2 linked regions of the Cricetulus griseus genome follow. The protein of the gene in region 1 interacts with the protein of each later gene in a biochemical or structural test. Links are inferred from orthologs where the notes say so. Each region holds a gene or a part of one and is shown in the gene's direction. Other genes may lie near its edges. The genes, in order: Tnrc6b and protein argonaute-1.

Evidence for each region.
Region 2: the proteins of Tnrc6b (region 1) and protein argonaute-1 form a complex in vitro, tested with the Homo sapiens proteins (2 studies listed by BioGRID and IntAct). The link is inferred for Cricetulus griseus from reciprocal best matches to the Homo sapiens genes TNRC6B and AGO1.

The regions. Positions count from the first base shown.
Region 1 is NC_048595.1:378,015,942-378,026,686, forward strand, and holds the start of Tnrc6b (trinucleotide repeat-containing gene 6B protein), read left to right. Parts: upstream 1-4,864; 5' UTR 4,865-4,880; coding exon 4,881-4,937; intron 4,938-7,864; coding exon 7,865-7,886; intron 7,887-10,745.
Region 2 is NC_048595.1:26,588,708-26,598,993, forward strand, and holds part of protein argonaute-1, read left to right. Parts: intron 1-1,015; coding exon 1,016-1,135; coding exon of another isoform or gene 1,136-1,155; intron 1,156-1,479; coding exon 1,480-1,611; intron 1,612-1,736; coding exon 1,737-1,870; intron 1,871-5,915; coding exon 5,916-6,100; intron 6,101-10,286.

The DNA.
Region 1 (10,745 bases):
CCAGGAAGGAGTCCCTGGGGGCTGTGAGGGATTTGAGGAGCCCTCAAATTTCATACATATTTGGAAACTGAGTCCACCTGGAGACAATATTGCCTGGCAAGTAGGAAATCAGTTTATACCTACTGTATGTGCTGAATTGATTCAGTAACAGTTTGGAAGGGAAGAGGTAGGTACAAGAGAAACAAATCCACCTGCCATTTATACTTAGAAACTGTGGATGGTTAAGGGAAACCCACCTCCTCACCTGGCATTTACATTTGTTTTGCATTTACATTGTTTTATTTATTTTTGCATGTTTGGTAAAGTTTTATTACTATTTTTTAATGTGCATTGGTGTTTTGCCTGCATTTATGCCTGTGTGAGAGTATCAGATCCCCTGGAACTGGAGTTACAGACAGTTGTGAATTGCCATGTAGGTTCTGGGAATTGAACCCAAGTCCTCTAGAAGAGCAACCAGTGCTCTTAACTGCTGAGCCATCTCTCCAGCCCCAACATTTGGTAAAGTTTTAATATGTAAATTTAAGGAATATATTTGTATCAGCAGTTTTCAAGCCTAGTTGCATGTTAGAACACTTGGGAGGAGTAGTTTTAAAAATCCCAGGGTGATTCTTATGTCACCAAACTGGAATGCTGCCCGGGTGACAGTTTTGTGTTTGTTGTTTAGGAAAACAAGTCTTGAATTTAGAGTTCGATATGCTTTTGAAACATCCCTTTTTGCTTGTTTCCTGAGTTGCTCTGAGAATGAGCCACTGAGCTAGTGCCCAGGAAGGCATTTGCAGCCCTTTCTCCAATGCTGTAGTGGTTTTTGGCAGACAGAGATTCATCTCCTGTACTCCTGAAATGTGACCACCAGAAGCAAAGATCTAACCCTGCACAGTGGTTCTCCAGAGGCTGAGGCAGGAGAATTGCCTCAAATTTGAGGTCAGTCTGGACTACACAGTGAGTCTAAGACAGCCTGGCCTGCTACTGTGAGACCCTGCCTCAAAATAAACCAAAACAAAATACAGTATTGGTTCCTTACTGCCATTGACTCTTCAGCCCCCACTGAAGGATTTCCCTCCCACTATTGCCTCCTAATTGCAACTTTTTGAGCCTTTGTAGCAAAAAGACTGCCTGGTGGTTTGGGGCCTATCTCCTTAGTTTCCCTTTACTCATAGCAGGTTTTCAAGCTTTCCTTGACTTTGACCTGGGAAACTTTCAAACCATTTATTTTGTAGTTTGCCTCTTAGCTCTCATGGTGCAGTTTTCTGATAGATCCCCAGTAAGTCTCCATGATGGCAACAGGGAATAGATTATTTGATTGAGGTGGTGTCTGCCAGCCTGCTATTACTCTTCCCCTTCAGAATAAAAAGTTGTTTTTTGTTTTTGTTTATCAAGACAGGATGTCTCTGTAGATCGGGCTGGCCTCGAACTCACAAGAGATCCGCCTGCCTCTGCCTCCCTAGTACTGATTAAGGTGTGTGCCACCACAGTGCACAATATTTTGTAGGTAGATTCTTAAAACTCTTTGAATGTCCCATTCCTCTCTCATAATTTATTCATTTCTTATTTTTCCTTTGGCCTTTGTGTTTTACTAATTTATATAATGGTTTATAACATCTTCTAGCAATACTTACAACGATCTTATGTCACCCCAGATAGTGGAATCCCCTTCAGACTGTCTTCTAATTTAAGGACTCCTATTTTGTGGCAAGCAGTCTGTTTTCATATTAAACTTTCCGGGACTGAACCCCTGAATTAGTGTTTTGGTATGCTCCCTCCCAATAACTGGTTCTTTTAGTTAAGAATGGTACTTAATAGCTGCAAGTCTTTGTGCTAAATTGGATTTAATCTCTGCCAGCTTACCTCTAGTTTCAATGGGATTCCTTGCCGCAGGGAAATAAGGTAGATTTTGACCATCTGAACACCCAATGCCTTCCTCTGGCCAGCACACAAATGTGTGCACACACATGCTAGCTAAATAGGCTATTACTATTTGAATATTCCTTATTTTGTAGCCTCACAGTTACAGATATAGGGAGGGAGGGTGGGGGAAAGGAGAGAGAATAAGTACATAGGTAGTTACATGTATATGTTATGTCTGTTTATTGAAAACAATGAGTACATGTTGGTCACCAATTTAGATCCAACTCCATGTGTTTGGTTTTTTCCCCATTGCATTTTTGTAACTCCTTTTTTTTTTTTTTTTTTTTTTTTTTTTTTTTGGTTTTAGAAACCTGGATGCTGTTGTCCTACTAACCTACTTTATTGTCACCCTTCTATGTGCTAGTGCCTTCCCATTGCCATTGGAGTGGGTGTCCTCCTTGCTCTGCTTGGGCTCTGAGTCAGTACAGGGATCTTTTAGAGCTCCCCAAATGGTATTTCTTATAGATAGGGAACACCTGAATTAAGAGGCGAGTCCCACACTGTTTGAGTCAAGCAAGTCAGTGGTGGGCTTTCAAATATAGTTTGGCAAAGTAAAAATTCCCTAAGAAGGTAAAAGGTAAGGAGAAGACTTAAATTCTACCAAGATGCTGTTGAAAAACAAAAAGAAAAAACAGGGAGAAAGCAAAGCTTGCCTCCTAGAAAGCTTTGAAAAGTATTTGCTTTGAATAGAAATATCCTTCTAGTGTACATGAATTTCATTCTCTTCCCTGAATTACTTGTTTATAGGAAAGAATTTGAAAAAGTTAGTTGTTTTTTGAGAATGTATCTTGTTAAAAAACCTTTTTTAGTGTAGCATTTTAAATATAAATTTAATTTTGGAAATTTTAGACATAAAAATGACAACTTGATTTTTAAGCAGGAGATGTTTGGACTGTGACTGTCCCTCTTCTGTAAGCAGTTTCACTATGCAATGTGGGAACTAAGTTGTAGTAACAGGAACTCTCATCCTCTCCTTTTGCTCCATGAGAGGCATCACAGCATCCCTAAATTTAACAGGAAAGTAAATAATTTTTTAAAATACTGTTTTGTGGATTTTTGTTTGTTTGTTTTTGACAAAGTGTCCCTATGTAGCTAGCTTATAACTCAGCAATCCTCCTCACTCTTTCCCAGAGTGTATCCCACATGCTGGAATTACCCACTGCCATGTCTGGTGTAGGAAATTCTTGTTTTCTATGGGGAAAATACTGATGGTCTATTCATGAGTGCCCACTTTAGTTCTTGCCCTGTTTGCTTTGTGTAGTTGAATGTTTTTGACTAGATCCACTTTCTTCCCTAGACTCTACTCCCTCTGGAACCATTTTTGTGGGTTTGCCACTTGCAACTTTATTAGTTCCTTGTTTCTTTAATCTTTTTATCTTGGTCATAGTCTAGATGATGTCTGTGAAGCCATGAGCTAATATGTTATTACTTAAAATCCTAACTGCCATAGGCTGTGTCTGTTCCCTGCTGTGGGGACTTCCCACAGCTATGTCTCTGACTGCTTTCCTCACCAAGGTTCAGTTGGTGAGGGGCTTGTTGCCCAGTGGGAACTCTGTAGTTGAGGTTATATTCTTGGTTAGTTGGCCTTTTTTCTCAGTAGATACATAGAATGAAAGCTGTTGGGCATTAGAATAAATGTTATATTTCTTTCTTTCTTTCTTTCTTTCTTTCTTTCTTTCTTTCTTTTTATGCAAATAGCACGAGGCTTTAATGCAGTTGTTTAACGAGCTAACCCCTAGCTTGGGCCTTTCGTCCACCCACTATGGCGGATGGCTCAGGAAAGACCAATAAATGTTATATTTCAAAGGTACTTTGGATTTGCAATGTAAATTGTATAATTTTAAGATGTAGCACAATTCCTCAACTGGAGGTCTATTAATATGCATTGGTGTTTTGGGGGGGGTTGGTTTTGTTTTGTTTTGTTGTTTGTTTTTGTTTGTTTTTCTGCTGAGTGGAACAGATTGACTTGATTTGTGTTTGTAGGAAAAAGATACAGCTATGAACCCACATACCTTCCTTAAAAACACATATAGTGAGATCAGATCTGAACTCCTTTGGTGGGGATGGGGGAGTGTCGAGACAGGGTTTCTCTGTGCAGCCCTAGGTGTCCTGGAATTCACTCTATAGACCAGGCTGGCCTGGAACTCACAGTGATCCGCCTCCCGAGTGCTGGGATTAAAGGCGTGTATGTGCTGCTGCTGCTGCCACCACCCTTTTAATTTATGCTTTTGTTTTAGGAAAAACAAAAAACAAAAAAACTGGCAAGTGGTGCATACCTGTAATCCCAGCTCTAGGACAGAGGGTTACAGTTCAGAGGCCAGTAGATTCCTAGGGTTTACCAGCCACTCAGTCTACTAAAAACAGCAAGCTCTAGGTTCCATCTCAAAAAAAAAAAAAAAAAAAAAAAGAGGTGGAGGGGCTAGAAGAATGGCTCAGAGTATTTGCTCTTCTTCCAGATCAATTCCTAGCACTCAGTTGGTGGTTCACAGCCTTCTTTAACTCCTGTTCCTGAGATCCGATGCCCTCTTCTGGCCTCCTCAGGCACCAGCACACCTATAGTACAGACAAAACACCCATACCCCTAAAATTAAATTAAATTTTAAAAAAAAGCTAGAGTGATGGAGGAAGAAACCCAGTCTATTAGAAGCCATCTATGTATTATATTCAAAGCAAACCCACTACTAAGTAAAAGTACATTAATAATTCTCTTGAATGTGTCTATATACAGATACTATAGAAATGCTTGTAGGCCTCTTTGAAACCAAGCTTAATGTAATGGATGTTTTATGAAAGGGATGGCAAGCCATGACATGGGAATACCCAACAGGCATGAGTTTTATATGTTCTTTTGGTTTAAGTAAGTTATTAGTACTGTGATCTTTGCTACAGAAGTGGAATGTAGATGTGTGTATATAACCTTTACAGTGTGTTACTTCTTTTACAGAGAGAAGGAGCAAGAAAGGGAAGAACAGTTAATGGAAGACAAGAAAAGGAAGAAAGAGGATAAAAAGAAAAAAGAAGCCACCCAGAAGGTGAGTTGGGCATTTAGGTCTGTCTTCATATTTGCCGGGCATCCATAATTAGTGACTGCCTTACTTGAATACCTGATAATGCTGCCCAAGACATTAGTTTGTTTGAAAGTTTAAAAATTTGAATGGATGGTGGTGGGCTGAATGTCTACTTAGTAAAGTGTGTTTTGAGTTCAGTCCTCAGCACTGGAGGGAGAAAAAAAATGAATGATGCCAGTGTAACTTTATTAAAACATTGACTTTCATTTAGGGCTAAAATTAAATTTCTTCCAAACAGAAATTAAACATGAACCCCTTTTCACTGTATTCAGTGGCAGCTTACTCTTTCCAGAACCATTCCTGAGTAAACCATATTAAATTCCCATTCATGAGAGAGGTGTAAAGAAGGACTCCATTCATTCATTAGGCTGATGCTGCAAAAGGAGCATTGTGTAATGTTGGCAGGACTTGGATTCTAAATGTCCATCTGAGAATTGGCTGTTGTAACAGCACCAGCATTATAAGACATTCAAACATGATTTAGATTTGTTGCTTACAACTGGGAAAAGTATTGACTCTTACACAACTGATCTTCAAAGTAGCATTCCAAGAAATAGTTACAATGGAGTAAAGCCTAAATTGTAGTCATGAATTGGTATGTGGACCAAACCCATTCATTCTTGAATAATTGGGGACTATAGAAAAATGTACGAGGGCTTTTCACTAGAATGGAGCCTGAGCAATTAGTAGTGGGGAGCAGGTTTGTTTGAAGGTACTTTTCCAGAGTGTAGTATAGTACGGTTAGCCTGTCCTTTAATGCAACAATGTAAAAAGCACTCTAGGGAGTCCTAAGAATAGATTGTTTAGGTCAGACTCAGTCTAAGTGTGCTAGGATCTGTTTTGAAGGCTGCTTAGCTACAGGACATGCACTCCACAGATGACCATGTTTTCATAGATGGTAGTGATCCAGAATGATTACCAGCCACACATGACTTTTAAAAACCATGGTAGCTTTCATTTAATTACATTTTGGATAATATATTGGAAGTATATAAAACAGGGCCTACATAAAAATGCACCCTTTTTGTTTTTTTTCGAGACAGGGTTTCTCTGTGTAGCTTTGGAGCCTATACTGGCACTCACAAAAATGCACTTTTTAATATGAATTTGTTTCTCACCATATTTTTGTTTCATCTTTTATTGTTTTGTGAATTTCATACATATATACAATATATATTTTGACTATATTTGCTCCTCCCATTCCTCCCCCCACTCCTCGGATCCACCCCACTGCCAACTCCCAATATCCTGTCTTCTTCATTTTTTTATAGCCCACTGATTGTAATTTGTACTACTCATATAGTCAAGGGTGTGGGGCCATCTACTACTATGCTTAGTAAGGGCCTCACCCTTAAAGAAAGTTTACCCTGCCTCAGAAGCCATCAATTGTCAGTAGGTCCTCAGCTAGAAGTGTGGCTTCTAAGACCCCTCCCCTCTTGGTGCTGGATTATTAACTGGGTTGGTTTTGTGCAAGTGTTTTCTAACTGCTGTGAATTCGTAAGTGCCGTGATTCTGTCAGGTCCAGAACTGTTTTGGTCCTTCTAGCTCTTATTGTCTTTCTGCTCCCTCTTGCTCTGTGGTTCCTGAGCCTTGGGGGCATAGCATTAATTTTTAATAACTCTTCCTACAATGTTTGATGGTCAGTGTAAAAGTGCTTTAGCAGATTGACAGTTTGTAAAAGCGGGTCAGATGTTGTCTTAACAATGTAACAGATCCATGGCTAGGAATCCTGCTTACTTGCTTTGGGATTCTTTTCTTTTGTGGACCTCTTGTGGTTTTGCTTTTATATTATAAGGAGTATATGATGAGTGTCCCTGTGTCATTGCCCCCCACACACACACACACACACACTACCCTGTAGCAATATCAGAAGTAGTTTCCATCTGTCTTCTAAAGATTTCCACATACACATCCCCAAGCCCATTATGTATTTAGCAACTCATCATTTTAGGCTTTTTCATAGAGTCTTACTTATTACTTGAAGTACTTTTAACAAAGCATTCATAAAATTTTGTTCAAAATTTGCACAATTCAGTCTTATATTCTGCTTTATAACTTTTATGATAGCAGCAGGTATCAACTGAACATTGGCATGGCTGTCTGATGTAACCCTTTACCAAAACCCTGCCGGGGGTGGGAGAGGGGTGACTATCTCACTAGATAAATGGGTAATTGAGATCACATAGACTTGGTTTTCTTTTTATATTATTATTTATTTAACTTTATTTTATGTGCATTGGTGTGAAGGTATCAGATCCCCTGGAACTGGAGTTTTAGACAGTTGTGAACTTCCATGTGAGTGCTGGGAATTGAACCCACCCAGGTCCAATTCCACAGCAGCCAATGCTCTTATCCACTGAGCCATCTCTCCAATCCCAGACTTGGTTTTCAAATCTTCCTTTACAACCACGATTGTTGCTTTCAGGATGAGCCCCTCCTGCTTTTTAAGGTTGAGCTCAAAAGTATTTGAGTTCATACTCAGGAGGGAGTCTTTTTGTGTTAATGTTGAGTTTAGTTTCTGGCCATAGCTGTTTGATTTTCTGAAATTAGAGCAATCAGAATGTCTATTCCCAATACAGGGACTATATCATTTAGCAGGTAGATTTTTTTTTTTTTAAGTTACGGGGTTTTTGTTTTTTGTTTTTTGTTTTGCTTTGTTCTGGTGTGTTTGTTTTAAATTTAGATTTCCTCCTAATCTTAGTTGTGTGAGTACAGCTAGACATATGGACATAACTTCTAGAAAGATGTCCAAATTGACTCAGTTGTTTTGGATTTCAGCTAAGCCTGGGCACTGTGTATCCTGACAACTTGAATTGCTTGAGTTAATAGAATTAAAATGCTCTTATAATACAGTACTGAATTTAAAAGCAAATCTGTTATTTGTTTTGCAGGTCACGGAACAAAAAACCAAAGGTAAGATTTTTATCCTCTTTTTGTGTTTAGATTTCACTCTGCTGTTGACTCAGCCTGCAGTGCACTCAGCAGAGAGTGGGTGCACAGTAATTAAGGTGGGTTGTTTGTGGCCACTGAAGAGAGCAGTAATGACAAACTAAAAGCACTCAGCATTGTCTTTCTAGTTGGCCTTACATTTTTAGAAAGCAAAAGGGTAAATATTTTGTTTTAAAACTGTGTGAATCATGATTTTGAACTGAACTCTTTCAGAATTTTTAGTAGAACAGTGACAAACTACCAGCTCCTAGTTTCAGGTGGGAATTGCAGAGTGCACTTACCCATCTTGGTACATGGAATGCATCAAGTCTGAAACTGGAATGTCAAATCTAAAATGTTCACAGCCTTCTGAACTGGGGCCTGGACTGTGGTTTGGTTTGGTTTTTTTTTTTTTTTTTTTTTTATACCAAATTTTGAGTAAGTTAACTTTGCTTTAAAAAACTGATGTGTTGCAAACAGAAGCAAGTGGCCCTTAGGTCATTCTCAATCTAATACTGTCCTTTTCTGTGGGTTTTTTTTTTTTTCTGCTTCCCTAGTTCTAATTATGTAGTTTGTGTTTTGTTTTTAATGATGGTCACTGGATTAGCAAGCCTTAAGAATGGGAGGGAAAATTCCTTGAAATAATGCTTACTTTTGAGCACTTAAACATGTGGTTCTCCATTGGGTGTGCATTAGAATAGTTCAAATAGTCATCAAAATACATGCACTCAGGCTGCTGCCAGATGTTGTGTATCTAGGCTGGAACCCTTGTAGATGTACTTTGAAGTGTCCATGAAACCTCAGAACATGAAAACCATTGCCTTGGCTTAAAAGAAAAAGTCAGATAAGGGTAATGGAGACTTGGATTTGATGAGAGTCCCTTTAATGAGGAGGTGGTTTGGGTGATTTGGTTTGATTTGGTTGATTTTGTGACTAACAGGCCAAAGCATGCCATTCTGTGATAGAAGGCCAGTAAAGGTGGTCCATCTTCATGGGTGTTTTATGTAAGGATAGCTTTCTTAGGAAACCTAATTATGAAAAATAAATTCTCAAATAAGTACATATTAATGTATTATATTTCGAATCAAAGGTTTATCAAAGACTGTCCTGGGACTTTGTAGTGATTTAGAAAGTAAATTGTGAGAAACTGTTGTTATAATTATCTTAATTGGTTAGGAGGATAATGTTCTCCTCCTTGTCTAGTTCAGCCAGTTCCCAACCTACAAGTAGGCTTTCTTCTAGAAAAATCCATCAAATAATATGCATTTTTTCCCTAAGTCTATTTAGAAGTATACTTTGTGAATGGACTTTGGAAACAAATATTTATCAGACTTGGCGGGGGGGGGGGGGGTGGATTCACTATATAGCTATAGCTAATCTGGACCTCATGGTGTTGGACAAGCTGGCCTTGACCTTAAAATGATCCTCCTGCCTCTGCCTCCGAAGTGCTACGATTATAGGCACATGCTAGTGGCCTATTAAAGGACTTTTACAGTGGGCATTGGTGTTTCTTGACCAGCCAGGCTCTGTGTTGGTAAAACATAAGGAATATGGTAGAACTTGGGTTCCTAAGCCTGGCCACTTAAGCCTGCTTCTAGTTTATAGAAAACAAAGCTCACTAGGCAGTTTTTCTCCAGATGGTAATAACGATACCAGGTTTTCACGAGTTCGAGCACACGCACACAGAGTTTTCTCTTCTGCCAAAGTTTTAAAAGTCAAACTTTCCTTCCTACGTACTTCCCTCTCCTTGGGTCTTTTTCATACCTACTGTAGATGAAACATACTTCCCTGTCTCCTTAGTCTTCCTACTCCCTCAATGAGAAAATCAAGTCACATTATCCTAAAGGGAGGGAGATGAGGCCTAGCTTGGGTCTCTAAGGATTTAATTGTTGGAACCAGGGAAAAGGCGGGAAGTTTTAAAAAGCGCATACATATGTACATGCGTGTATACGTTTCTATTTCTATTTGAGGAGTGTCAGACTCACCAGCCTTGCTAGGTTTGTTCCATTTCTTGGTCAAGTCTTTGTTGGGCACTTTCTACCTTGTTCTTTTCCCTGAGCTGACATTTCTGGGTCCTGTTCCTCCCCCGACTGACATTCACCTTCTTAAGCGATCTGCCCTTAACTCTGAATCTACTCTTTCCCCAGCAGAGAAAAAGAAAAGACTGTGTTGGTGCCATGTCTTGGGTTGTACAAGGACTGAAGTAAGATTTTTCTGTATTTCAGAAAAACAGTGGATTGGTTTTTTTGTTCTTCCTTTATCTTCCACTATTAAAAATAGTACAGTAAGAATCCCAGAGAGGAGAGTAGGACAAGGACTTCAGTTAGTTCTCTGAGGACATGGGCTAGCTGTGCCTACTCAGCTAAAAAGAAGAAAAAGCACTTGGGCAAAAATTTAGATTCTCTTTTGTAGATATTAGACAGGAGCAAAACAGTCCCTATAATCAGGCACTAGGTCAGATTTAACTAGGTGAAATTTAACAGGGAAAAGGGTAAGGCTAGGGTTAAAAGCCCAATTACATGAACTACATAATGGCAGAATTTGGCCATAACAATTTAGCCTTGTTAAAGGGTGCTATAGGATGATGATTGCCTTAATGAGAACTATCAGTATGGAATGAAATGACAGGTTTCTAAAAACTAGCATGACCTTTAGCTGCTACAAAGTATCCAGACTGGGAATTGCAGGTCTGTAGATGTCAGTATGGAAAGGGAAGTCTCCATGGACTATGCATATTTTGGGTCAGGTTGGCCAAGAAATTTATCACTTCAGGCAGTTTTAAATATGTGGGGTTGTTTCACTCTCATGTCTTCCTAACTGGGGACCCTCAGGTGGGGCTCTGGT
Region 2 (10,286 bases), about 350 Mb from region 1:
CCCATAGAAATGGCTCTGCTTTATCTTGACTTAAGGTCAGTGAGTTGAGACCTATCTTTACTCTTTCAAGGCTAAACTCATAAGACCTAAAGGCCTAAGGCATGGCTATTGAAGTGTGTTTGTCCTAAGGAAACTACAGATGGTGCCCAACATGGGGCATAAACAGATGGTCCTCAACATACAATGTGCACTGGTGTTTTGCCTGTATATACTCTGTGTGAGGGTGCTGGATCCCCTGGAACTGGAGTTAGACAGTTGTGAACTGCCTTGTGGGTGCTGGGAATTGAACCCCAGTCCTCTGGAAGAACAATCAGTGCTCTTAACTGCTGAACCATCTCTCCAACCTCTTGGCATTGTTTTTGATCTCCATCTTGTGTGTAGGACAGAGGAACCAAGTAGCAGGATGTTCCTTATACTAACAATACTGCCAGCCAATGGGAATAGTGATTTCTGTGGCTGGAGATTCAGCTCACTCAGTAGAGGGCTTGCTTAGTATGCATACGGCCCTGGGTTCATTCATTCACACGTACACACAATGCTCCCCAACACACACAAAAGCAAAAAGGAAATAATGATTCCTACACTTTCTATATCTCAGGGACTCAAGAATTTTGAGCCATTTCTGCTCCTCCTGGTTGGTTACAGACAGAGCAATGTACTTCCTGCCACCATTGGAGAGCTGCCATAGGCATCTAGTTTGCTTATATTACATTGGGTTTTTAATATTCAAAAGAGCTGTGTACTTAGTCCTTGGGTAAATAATAATGTGTGCTATAATTTACTGAGTGCAGTGTTCCAGAACTGTGCTCAGCTCTTTAGTGTTTTATTTAATCTTTAGACACCCTGTGGGCTTGTAATTATTCTCATTTAATACATGAGACCTGATCACAGACCTGGTCACAATGTATTTTTGTATAAAGGACTCTGTAGTCCTTTTCCCACTTCTGTTAGCTAAGGTACTGTAAAAGGATAGGCTGTGCTCAGACTGTAACTCCTTCTCCACTCATTTTCTCAGGTCTGTAACATTGTGGCCGGGCAGCGGTGCATTAAGAAGTTGACTGACAACCAGACCTCAACCATGATAAAGGCTACAGCTAGGTCGGCCCCAGACAGACAGGAGGAGATCAGTCGCCTGGTCAGTGGGACTGCTGAGCAGTGCATGCTTGTTCACTGAGCCTTTGGGGCCCTTGGTAGGGTAGATGCTTTCCTTCAGGAAACCCTGACTGGACTTATTGTCTGGGACTTTGCAGGCTGCTCTTGCTTCTTGATCCTTCAGCTGCTCTTTCTCTCTTTCCCTCCTTTCTAACTCAACTCCCATTTGCACTCCCACTCCCTTCATTTTCTATTTCTCCTACCCCCTTTTCAGGGCTATTTCTTGGCAGCCTCAGCTTCTCTTCAGGGCTCTGTCCTTGGGACCCAGAACATGAGCAGTATTGCCAAGCTGCTGGTCTCCTGAGATCCCCTTCTTTTGCCCCGCAGATGAAGAATGCCAGCTACAACTTAGATCCCTACATCCAGGAATTTGGAATCAAAGTGAAGGATGACATGACGGAGGTGACGGGGCGAGTGCTGCCGGCGCCCATCTTGCAATATGGCGGCCGGGTGAGCAGGGTCAGGGCCAGACAACATCTCTGGGGCATATGGGGGTAGTTGGGTTACATAGCTTAGGGGCTTTTGCTCCCTCCTCACATGGCTCTACTGAGGCTCACCTGGGCGCCCCCTCTACCTGTCCCTAGAATCGGGCCATTGCTACACCCAACCAAGGTGTCTGGGACATGCGTGGGAAACAATTCTACAATGGCATTGAGATCAAAGTCTGGGCCATCGCCTGCTTCGCACCCCAAAAACAATGTCGAGAAGAAGTGCTCAAGTAAGGATGGAAGAGAGTTGGGTTTTGGGGATGGGGGTGGGTGGGGGTGGGAAGGATCCCAGACCTGTTGATCTTATAACCTCCAGGGGTCTAGATTGATCTGTCTTTCCTCTTTTAACTCTGTTTTGTTTTTTGGTTTTTTTTCGTGACTCACATTTCTGCCTATTTTCTATGCATATGTGATCAGAAGACTTGAGGAGCCATATCTATATCAGACATGAATTTTAGGGTATGACTCTCCTAAAGGAGGCCTGAGTCATTTTATTGTTCTAATTATCATAATTAGTAATAAGTAGTAGTGGTAATAACCATAATGCTTATGCTAACATTACACTTAAGTGACTAATTTATGTTCTTTCATCTTGATAGTGAGTAGGTGGTGTCTTAGTTGTTTTTCTATTGCTATAATAAACACCGTGACCCCTTATAAAATAAAGAGTTTATTGGGCCTTACAGCACCAGAGGATGAGTCCATTACCATTGTTGCAGGATAGGCCACATGGCACTGGAGCAATAGCTGAGAGTTTACATCTGATCAAACAAGAGGAGAGAGGGAGTGAACTGGAATGGCATGTGCTTTTGAAACCTCGAAGTCCATCTTCCAGTGACCCATCTCCTCTAACAACGCCACCCCTCCTAATCCTTCAAACAGTTTTACCAACTGGGGACCAGGCATTCAAATATATGAGCCTATGGGGGCCTGTTCTCATTCAAACCACCGTATGAGGTAATATTTCAGGAGACTAAGGCTGAAAGAGATTGAATAACTTGTCCAAAGTGTGCACATCAGGAAAGGTTCAGATCTGAGCTTCTAATTAGAAACATTTTTTTTTGCTATCAAGGACTAGCAGCTGGTCCTCTGCTGTACTCATCAGGACATAGTTAAGTGAGCTGCAAGTGCCCTGAAATAGGTGCACATGAATTGAGAGGCAGGCCCCCTCATCATCCTTGAGAAGCTGGGAGTACATGACAGCAAGGAAGAAAACGATAACACAAATTAGCTTAAAGAAACAGGTTAGAGAATTAACAGCCTGACTGAGTAAATAAACAAGTAGCAAAGTCACTTGACACTTTCCCTATAGTCTTTAGTTTTTAAAGTTTTATTGAGTTAGCTTACAACACCAAAAAGTGCACCTATATACAACTATGGTTCAGACTCTGCTGTCTTTTTATGTGGTGGCTCTGGAGATGGAGAGTGGATCATTGTATTCTGGTAATGAGGAAATCAGTGGAGCTGACCATTTTGGTCATGACAAAGGTAATAGAGATTTGTGCTCCTGTTGGATCCAGGCCTTCTAGGCCCTTGTCCTCCCTTCCCCCTGCCAGGCAGACACGTAGCCACCTTCATAATTGTAATTTCTCATCACTGGAATTTTTTGGTTTCCCTATTTATTTTTTAGTCTCCTTTCCTAGATTTGTTAGATTTAGGCCAGGCTGTTCTTGCATTTGGTTTGGCATTGTAGCAATACTGGAATACCAGGCTAGTCAGATTATTTATGCCATAATAATCTCATTGGTAGCTCTTTTTCCTACTTTTTTTATCCTGCCCTTGTCCGAGTGTTTGTTTTTTTTTTGTGTGTGTTTCTAAATAATCTATAGTTTTGACCTTTCCGGTTCACCAGAAATTGATAAACCTAGGATCTCATGTTTGGAAGAGTTCAGTGCATTAAGCACCCTTTTTTCTCAGTGACCCCTACATGCAGAGCATAAAAAAGTAACTTGTGTATGAGGATCAGTGGTACCTAATTTAATGCATGATTCTGGGCCAAAGATAAAGATTTCTCAGCCATGAAAACTACGTTATGTAGTAGAGACTCCCTGAGACTATGCATAGAAAGTAGAAATTGGAAATAGAATTTAGAAAAACTGGAAAGTAATGAGGCAAATGTTCCTAAGGACATGAGACTCAGAGTATAGAGAAAAACATTCTTTTCACAAAGACAGTGGGAGAAGCAGAGGCTGCTGTGTGGAGTTGGGGAAATTTGTCAGTGATGGATAAACATAGTCAATCCTATTTTTTTTTATCTGTCTTCATCACTGTGGTTGTGTCATTGTTTGGATACAGCCTTCCACATGCCTCTGCCTCTGCCTCCCTCCCTCCCGAGTGCTGGAATTAAAGTATGCCACCACTGCCTGGCTGGTAAAAAAAGAGTTTTGATTAAGGTTTTAGTAGCTATACTACATTTGTATATAAAGCAGACCATTAAAGCCCTATTATAGGAGGCAATGATTAGCTTGTATTGAGTTTTTCATTTATTTGTTTATTCATTTAGTCATTCAGTTTTTGAGTGGGGTATTCTTGGGATGATGTATCTCTCAGGCTGGCCTCAAATTCATGGTGGTTCTCCTGACTCAGTCAGAAATGTCAGGATTATGAGTGTTATATTTGCTTTGAGACCTACAGATTATATGTTTTTTAATGTCATTATTTATTAATTTTTATTTGTTTAAAAATATTTTATAAATAATGTAGCTAGCAGACATGATACCTCATGCCTATAATACCAATATTCAAAATGCACAGTCGGGAAATTGCCTTATGTTTGAGGCCATCTGGGGCTACATATAGTGAATACCAGGCTAGTCAGGCCTACATAGTGAAACTATAGCTCAAAAAAACCCAAAACAATTGTCTTAGGGTTTCTGTTGCTGTGATAAAACTCCATGATAACTTGATGAGGAAAGAGTTTATTTTGCTTACCGTTCCACATCTCAGTCCGTCACTGAGGGAACTTGGCAAGAACTGAAGTAGAAGCCATGGAGGAGTGCTACTTACTAGCTTGTTCAACCTGCTTTCTTATGCACCAGAGACCCTGCCCAGGGCTAGCAATACCTCCATGGGCTGGGCCCTTCCATGTCAATCATTAATTGAGAAAAGGCCCGAAAGGCTTTTCTGCAGGTGAATCTTAATGGAAGCATTTTCTCAATTGAGGATCCCTCTTCAAAGATGGCTCTAGCTTTTTGTTATGAAAAGTTAGCCAGCACAATAATAGTAATAATAATGTAGAAATAATATAGTCCTACATAGTCAACATTCATAGTTTTATCATGTTTACTTCAGTCTTTTTAAAAAATACAAATTTGACATTTTTTGATGCCCTGCATTCTGGTTTCATTCTTCTCTTCTGATGCAGTTGCTGGTGTGGATTATAATCTTCTTACCTAGTTTTTTTTATGGATGCATATCATTTTAAATTTGTATAAAATAGGCTGTGTCTACATATTTTTACTAAATATGGAAAAAAAACGAGTCCTGAGCTATCATTGATATGTATGCCGTATATATTTTTGAAACATTCATTCACTGCTTTTATTAATTAAGTTGTTCAATGCTGAGTGTGAATCCAACCCCTTGTACAAGCCAGACAGGCACTTCACTGCTGGTTGCTTTGCCTTAAATGATAATATTTTTATGAATTAAATTGCTTGCCACTCATTTTTGTATATATGTATATATATATATTAATATATATATATATTCAAGTTAGGGAACAAGCTTGTTTCACATGTAAGTCCCTTCTCCCTCTCCCTCCCCTCACCCCCTCATTTTTGTATATTTATGTAGCTTGATTATTTTACTGTACTATAGCCACCCTCTTTATCAACTCTGTTGCCTTTCTCAGGGTAAAACCTAAAGCCAGAGGAAAGAAACTCGTTTTTCCCTGAGCATTTATCTTCTGTGCTTCCATCCTTATTTACTTTGGGCACAAAGGCCTTACACTTAGGCATCTGTTTGTTGTTTGTTTTCCCCTGTGGACATGTAATGGGGTACAGACATCCATAGGTCTCACTCAGACAGAGAAAGACGAGAGCCCTGAGAAATCCCACAAGTCCCTTGTCTGTTCTCTTCAGCTCCTTTTGTGTTCTCTTTAGTTGAGCAAGCTCTGCCTTGTTTTCCTCTACTATAAATGTAATTTTTCCATCTGCTGTGGTTGGATCTTTCATGTTAGACTCTCATGGTACTGAGTACCTAAGATGGAGGCATTTGGTCCATCAGACTCAGTGAGATTTATTACATCTTGCCATGACCATGTTTGTGCCACAGGAACTTCACAGACCAGCTGCGGAAGATTTCCAAGGATGCGGGGATGCCCATCCAGGGTCAGCCTTGTTTCTGCAAATATGCACAGGGAGCAGATAGTGTGGAGCCCATGTTCCGGCATCTAAAGAACACCTACTCAGGACTGCAGCTCATTATCGTCATCCTGCCAGGGAAGACGCCTGTGTATGGTACAGTTCTCCTGGGACAGTAATAATGATAGGATTCGCTTAACAATAGTTCTCTAGGGGCTTGTAGGGAGGAGTAAGTGAAGAATTTTGGCTTTATCCAGAGATGTTTATTAATGTCAGTTTTTTTGTTTGTTGTTGTTGTTGTTTTTAAATCAGAGAAATACTGCCTGAACTGTTGAGTCACATTTGGTTTTACTTACTTGTCACACTCATTGTCACATTTTCTAGGCTCTTCTGTGATAGGGTTTTGTGCCAGGCTGATGTAGTGGGACACAGAGTTGGGTCAGGCCAGATAGCTGTCACTTGGGAGTGTGGTATATATTAGGATATTATGAGCTCAAGCTGAATATGGGGTATTCTGCTATAATTCTGCCTAGTAGTAGCTTGGACTTTTTGCAACATTTCTCCTTGTTTCCTCTTTCTTATATTGCAAACACCTATTAGTCTATTACTCTGTATTCCTCTATTATCTTGGCCTGTTTTAAAAATTGTACTGTCCCTTTTACTTCACTTCTCTGTTTTTGTTCCCATCCAGTTTGGGTACCTTTGGGACGTCATACCTCTAAACCTTTGAACATGTACAGATTAACTGCCCAAAGCACATTCTAGCAATTTTGCAATGTCTTTAAGCATCTTTTTTCCTAATGTTTTTCTTTTTTTTCTTATTTTTTATTAGTTCAAATTAGAAACAAGCCTGCTTCACATGTCAATCCTCTCTTTCCCCTCCCCCTATTGTTTTTCTTTTTCTTTCTTTTTTTTTGTAATATTTTTATTAGTTCAAATTAGGAACAAGCTTGTTTCACGTCTATCCTTCTCCCTCTCCCCCTCACCTACCCCCTAACCTCATCGATCCTCCACTCCCCAGGCAGGGTAGGGCCCTGGACGGGGGCTCCCCAAAGTCCACCACATCATTCTGGTCTGGGCCATCCCTTCCTGTGGGATGGGCTCTCAAAGTCCCTTCTTACACCAGGGAAAAATACTAATCCACCACCAGGGGCCCCCTAGAGTGCGGAGGCCTCTTCATTGACATCCATGTTCAGGGGTCTGGATCAGTCCTGTACTGGCCTCCCAGGCAGCAGTCTGGGGTCAATGTGCTCCCCCTAGTACAGGCCAGCTGTTTCTGTGGGTTTCATTTCACCAGCCTGGTACTGACCCCTTTGATCTTCATTCCTCCCTCTCTGCAACTAAGTTCCAGAGTTCAGTTCAGTGTATATCTGTAGGTGTCTGCCTCTGCTTCCTTCAGCCACTGGATGAGGGCTCTAGGATGGCATAAAAAGTAGTCATCAGTCTTATTATAGGGGAAGGGCATTTAGGTTATCCTCTCCATCATTGCCTAGATTGTCAGTTCGTGTCATCCTTGAAGGTCTCCAGAAATCTCCCTAGTGCCAGATCTCTCCTCGGACCTATAATGGCTCCCTCTGTTATGGTATCTCTCATCCTGCTTCCTCTATTCTTCCTCCAACTCAACCTTTCTGCTCCTCCATTTCCTCCTCTCCTCTCCTCTCCTCTCCTCTCCTCTCCTCTCCTCTCCTCTCCTCTCTCCTCTCTCTCCTCTCCTCTCTCCTCTCCTCTCCTCTCCTCTCCTCTCCTCTCCTCCTTTCACTCTGGCAGCTCCCTCTGCCCTACCCTCATGCTCCCAATTAGCTCAAGAGTTCCTGCTGCTTCCCATTCCTGGGGTCCATGCATTTTTCCCTTAGAGTCCTTCATGTTTCCTAGTTTCTTTGGTGAAGAGGATTATAGGCTGGTAATCCTTTGCTCTGTGTCTAAAATTCATATATAACTGAGTACATAACATGTTTGTCTTTTTGTGACTGGGTTACCTCACTCAGGATGGTTTCTTCTAGTTCCATCCATTTGCCTGTGAATTTCAAGATTCCATTGCTTTTTTTCTGCTGAGTAGTACTCCATTGTATAAATGTACCACATTTTCTCAATCCATTCTTCAGTTTTGGGTCATCTAGGTTGCTTCCAGGTTCTGGCTATTACAAACAATGCTGCTATGAACATGGTTGAACATATGTCCTTGTTGTATGGACGTGAATTATTTGGGTATATGCCCAAGAGAGGAATTGTTGGATCTTGAGGTAGACTGATTCCCATTTTTCTGAGCAACTGCCATACTGATTTCCAAAGTAGTCTTACAAGTTTGCACTCCCACCAGCAAATGAGGAGTGTTCCTTTTTCTCCACATCCTCTCCAGCATAGATTGTCATTGGTGTTTTTGATTTTAGCCATTCTGACAGGTGTGAGGTGGTATCTCAGAGTTGGTTTGAGTTGTATTTCTCTGATGACCAAGGATTTTGATCACTTTCTTAAGTGTCTTTCAGCCATTTTAGATTCCTCTGTTGAGAATTCTCTATTTAGTTCTGCACCCCACTTTTTAATTTCATTGTTTGGTGTTTTCGTGGTTAGCTTCTTGAGTTAATTTTTTTTTTTTTTTAAGATTTATTTATTTATGTATAGTGTTCTGTCTGCTATCCCTGCAGGCCAGAAGAGGGCACCAGATCTCATTACAGATGGTTGTGTGAACCACCATGTGGTTGCTGGGAATAGAACTCAGGTCGTCCATGTGTGTGTCCGCTGCCCCCCCCCCCAAAAAAAAAAGAGTATGTAAATTTTGCTGGGTGTTGGTGGCGCATGCCTTTAATCCCAGCACTTGGGAGGCAGAGGCAGGCAATCTCTGTGAGTTCGTGGCCAGCCTGGTCTCCAGAGCAAGTGCCAGGATAGGCTCCAAAGCTACACAGAGAAACCATGTCTCAAAAAAACCAAAAAAAAAAAAAAAAAAAAAAAAAAAGAACTTAGTAAGAGCAGCCAGTGCTCTTAATCTCTGAGCTATCTCTCTAGCCCTTGTTTTTCTTTTTTAACGAGTTGTTTTTCTTATTCTACATGCAAACTTCCTCAACAGCCACTTACTCCGTAGCCTGCTTCCCTTTATCTCATTCTCCTCACTCAGCTGTGGGATTGGGAACCTTGGTTTTCACTTCCTTTGACTTCCAGATACATTTCTTGTCTATTTTGTCATTATTGGGAATGCCTGGTATGCTAAAATTTCTTTCCTCTTCCTTTCATCTGTCTTACTGATATTCTCACTCATTTTGGCTTTGGCCATTACCTATTACCTTAATATAGTAATTTTTGCTTGTTTTTTTTTTTTTTCCTAAGATGGCTTGTGAACCATGTGGTGGCTGGGAATTGAACTCAGGACTTCTGGAGTGCTCTTAACCACTGAGCAATCTCTCCAGCCCCATACTCTTAAAACAAGTCATTGAATTCTCTTTGTCTTCTCCTTCTACAGGATTATTGATCATCTCTTCAAATCTTACTTCTCAAGGAAATTTTTAAACATTTTATTTATATAGTGGCATAGTGTGTGTGTGTGTGTGTGTGTGTGTGTGTGTGTGTGTGTGTGTGTGTGTGTGTGTGTGTGTTGTGTGTTGTACCTCTGCCACAGTAGTATGTGAATGGATGTTGGAAGATAACTTGAAGAATTGGTTCTCATCTTTTACGAAATAAATTCCCAAGATTGGACTCAGGTCCTCAGGCTTTGTTACAAGCACCTTCCCCCTACACCCCTGCTGAGCCAACACTAGTCCCTCATACCTTTCATGAATAGGTTAATAAATCAGACTTTTTTAAAAAACAACATCAAAGCCCCCAAACTTCACTGGTCTTCATTCAGTGCTTCATGTTTAACCTTTCAGCTTTTTCCTGTATTATTCACATAACAAACTTACTACAAGGTTACTTGTTCTGAAATGAGAACCCAATCTCAGTTTTTCCTTTACCAGTCAACCAATTAAGGCAAATTACCAAACTCCTCTGAGCGTCGGTTATGTAAAAAGCAGCATCTAGCAGAGTCCTTGACAAGAGCCAGCACTTTGAATGCTCATTCTTTGTTTGTGCTTTCCAGTCTACTCACATAGTTTTCCCTTTGCTTAGAATGTATGAATCTTCTCTATGCCTATCTTACCCTTAAAATTTCCTCCACCTTTCAAAACCTCGTTTAGATTATACTTATTTTCTATTATCCTCTTTTTTTTTTTTTTTTTTTTTTTTTTTTTTTTTTTTTTTGAGAGAGACAGGGTCTTACTATGTAGCTCTGGATGGCCTGCAATTTATTATGACCTCTCATCCAAAGATCTGCCTGCCTTTGCCTCCCAAATGCAAGGATTGAAAGCATGTGCCA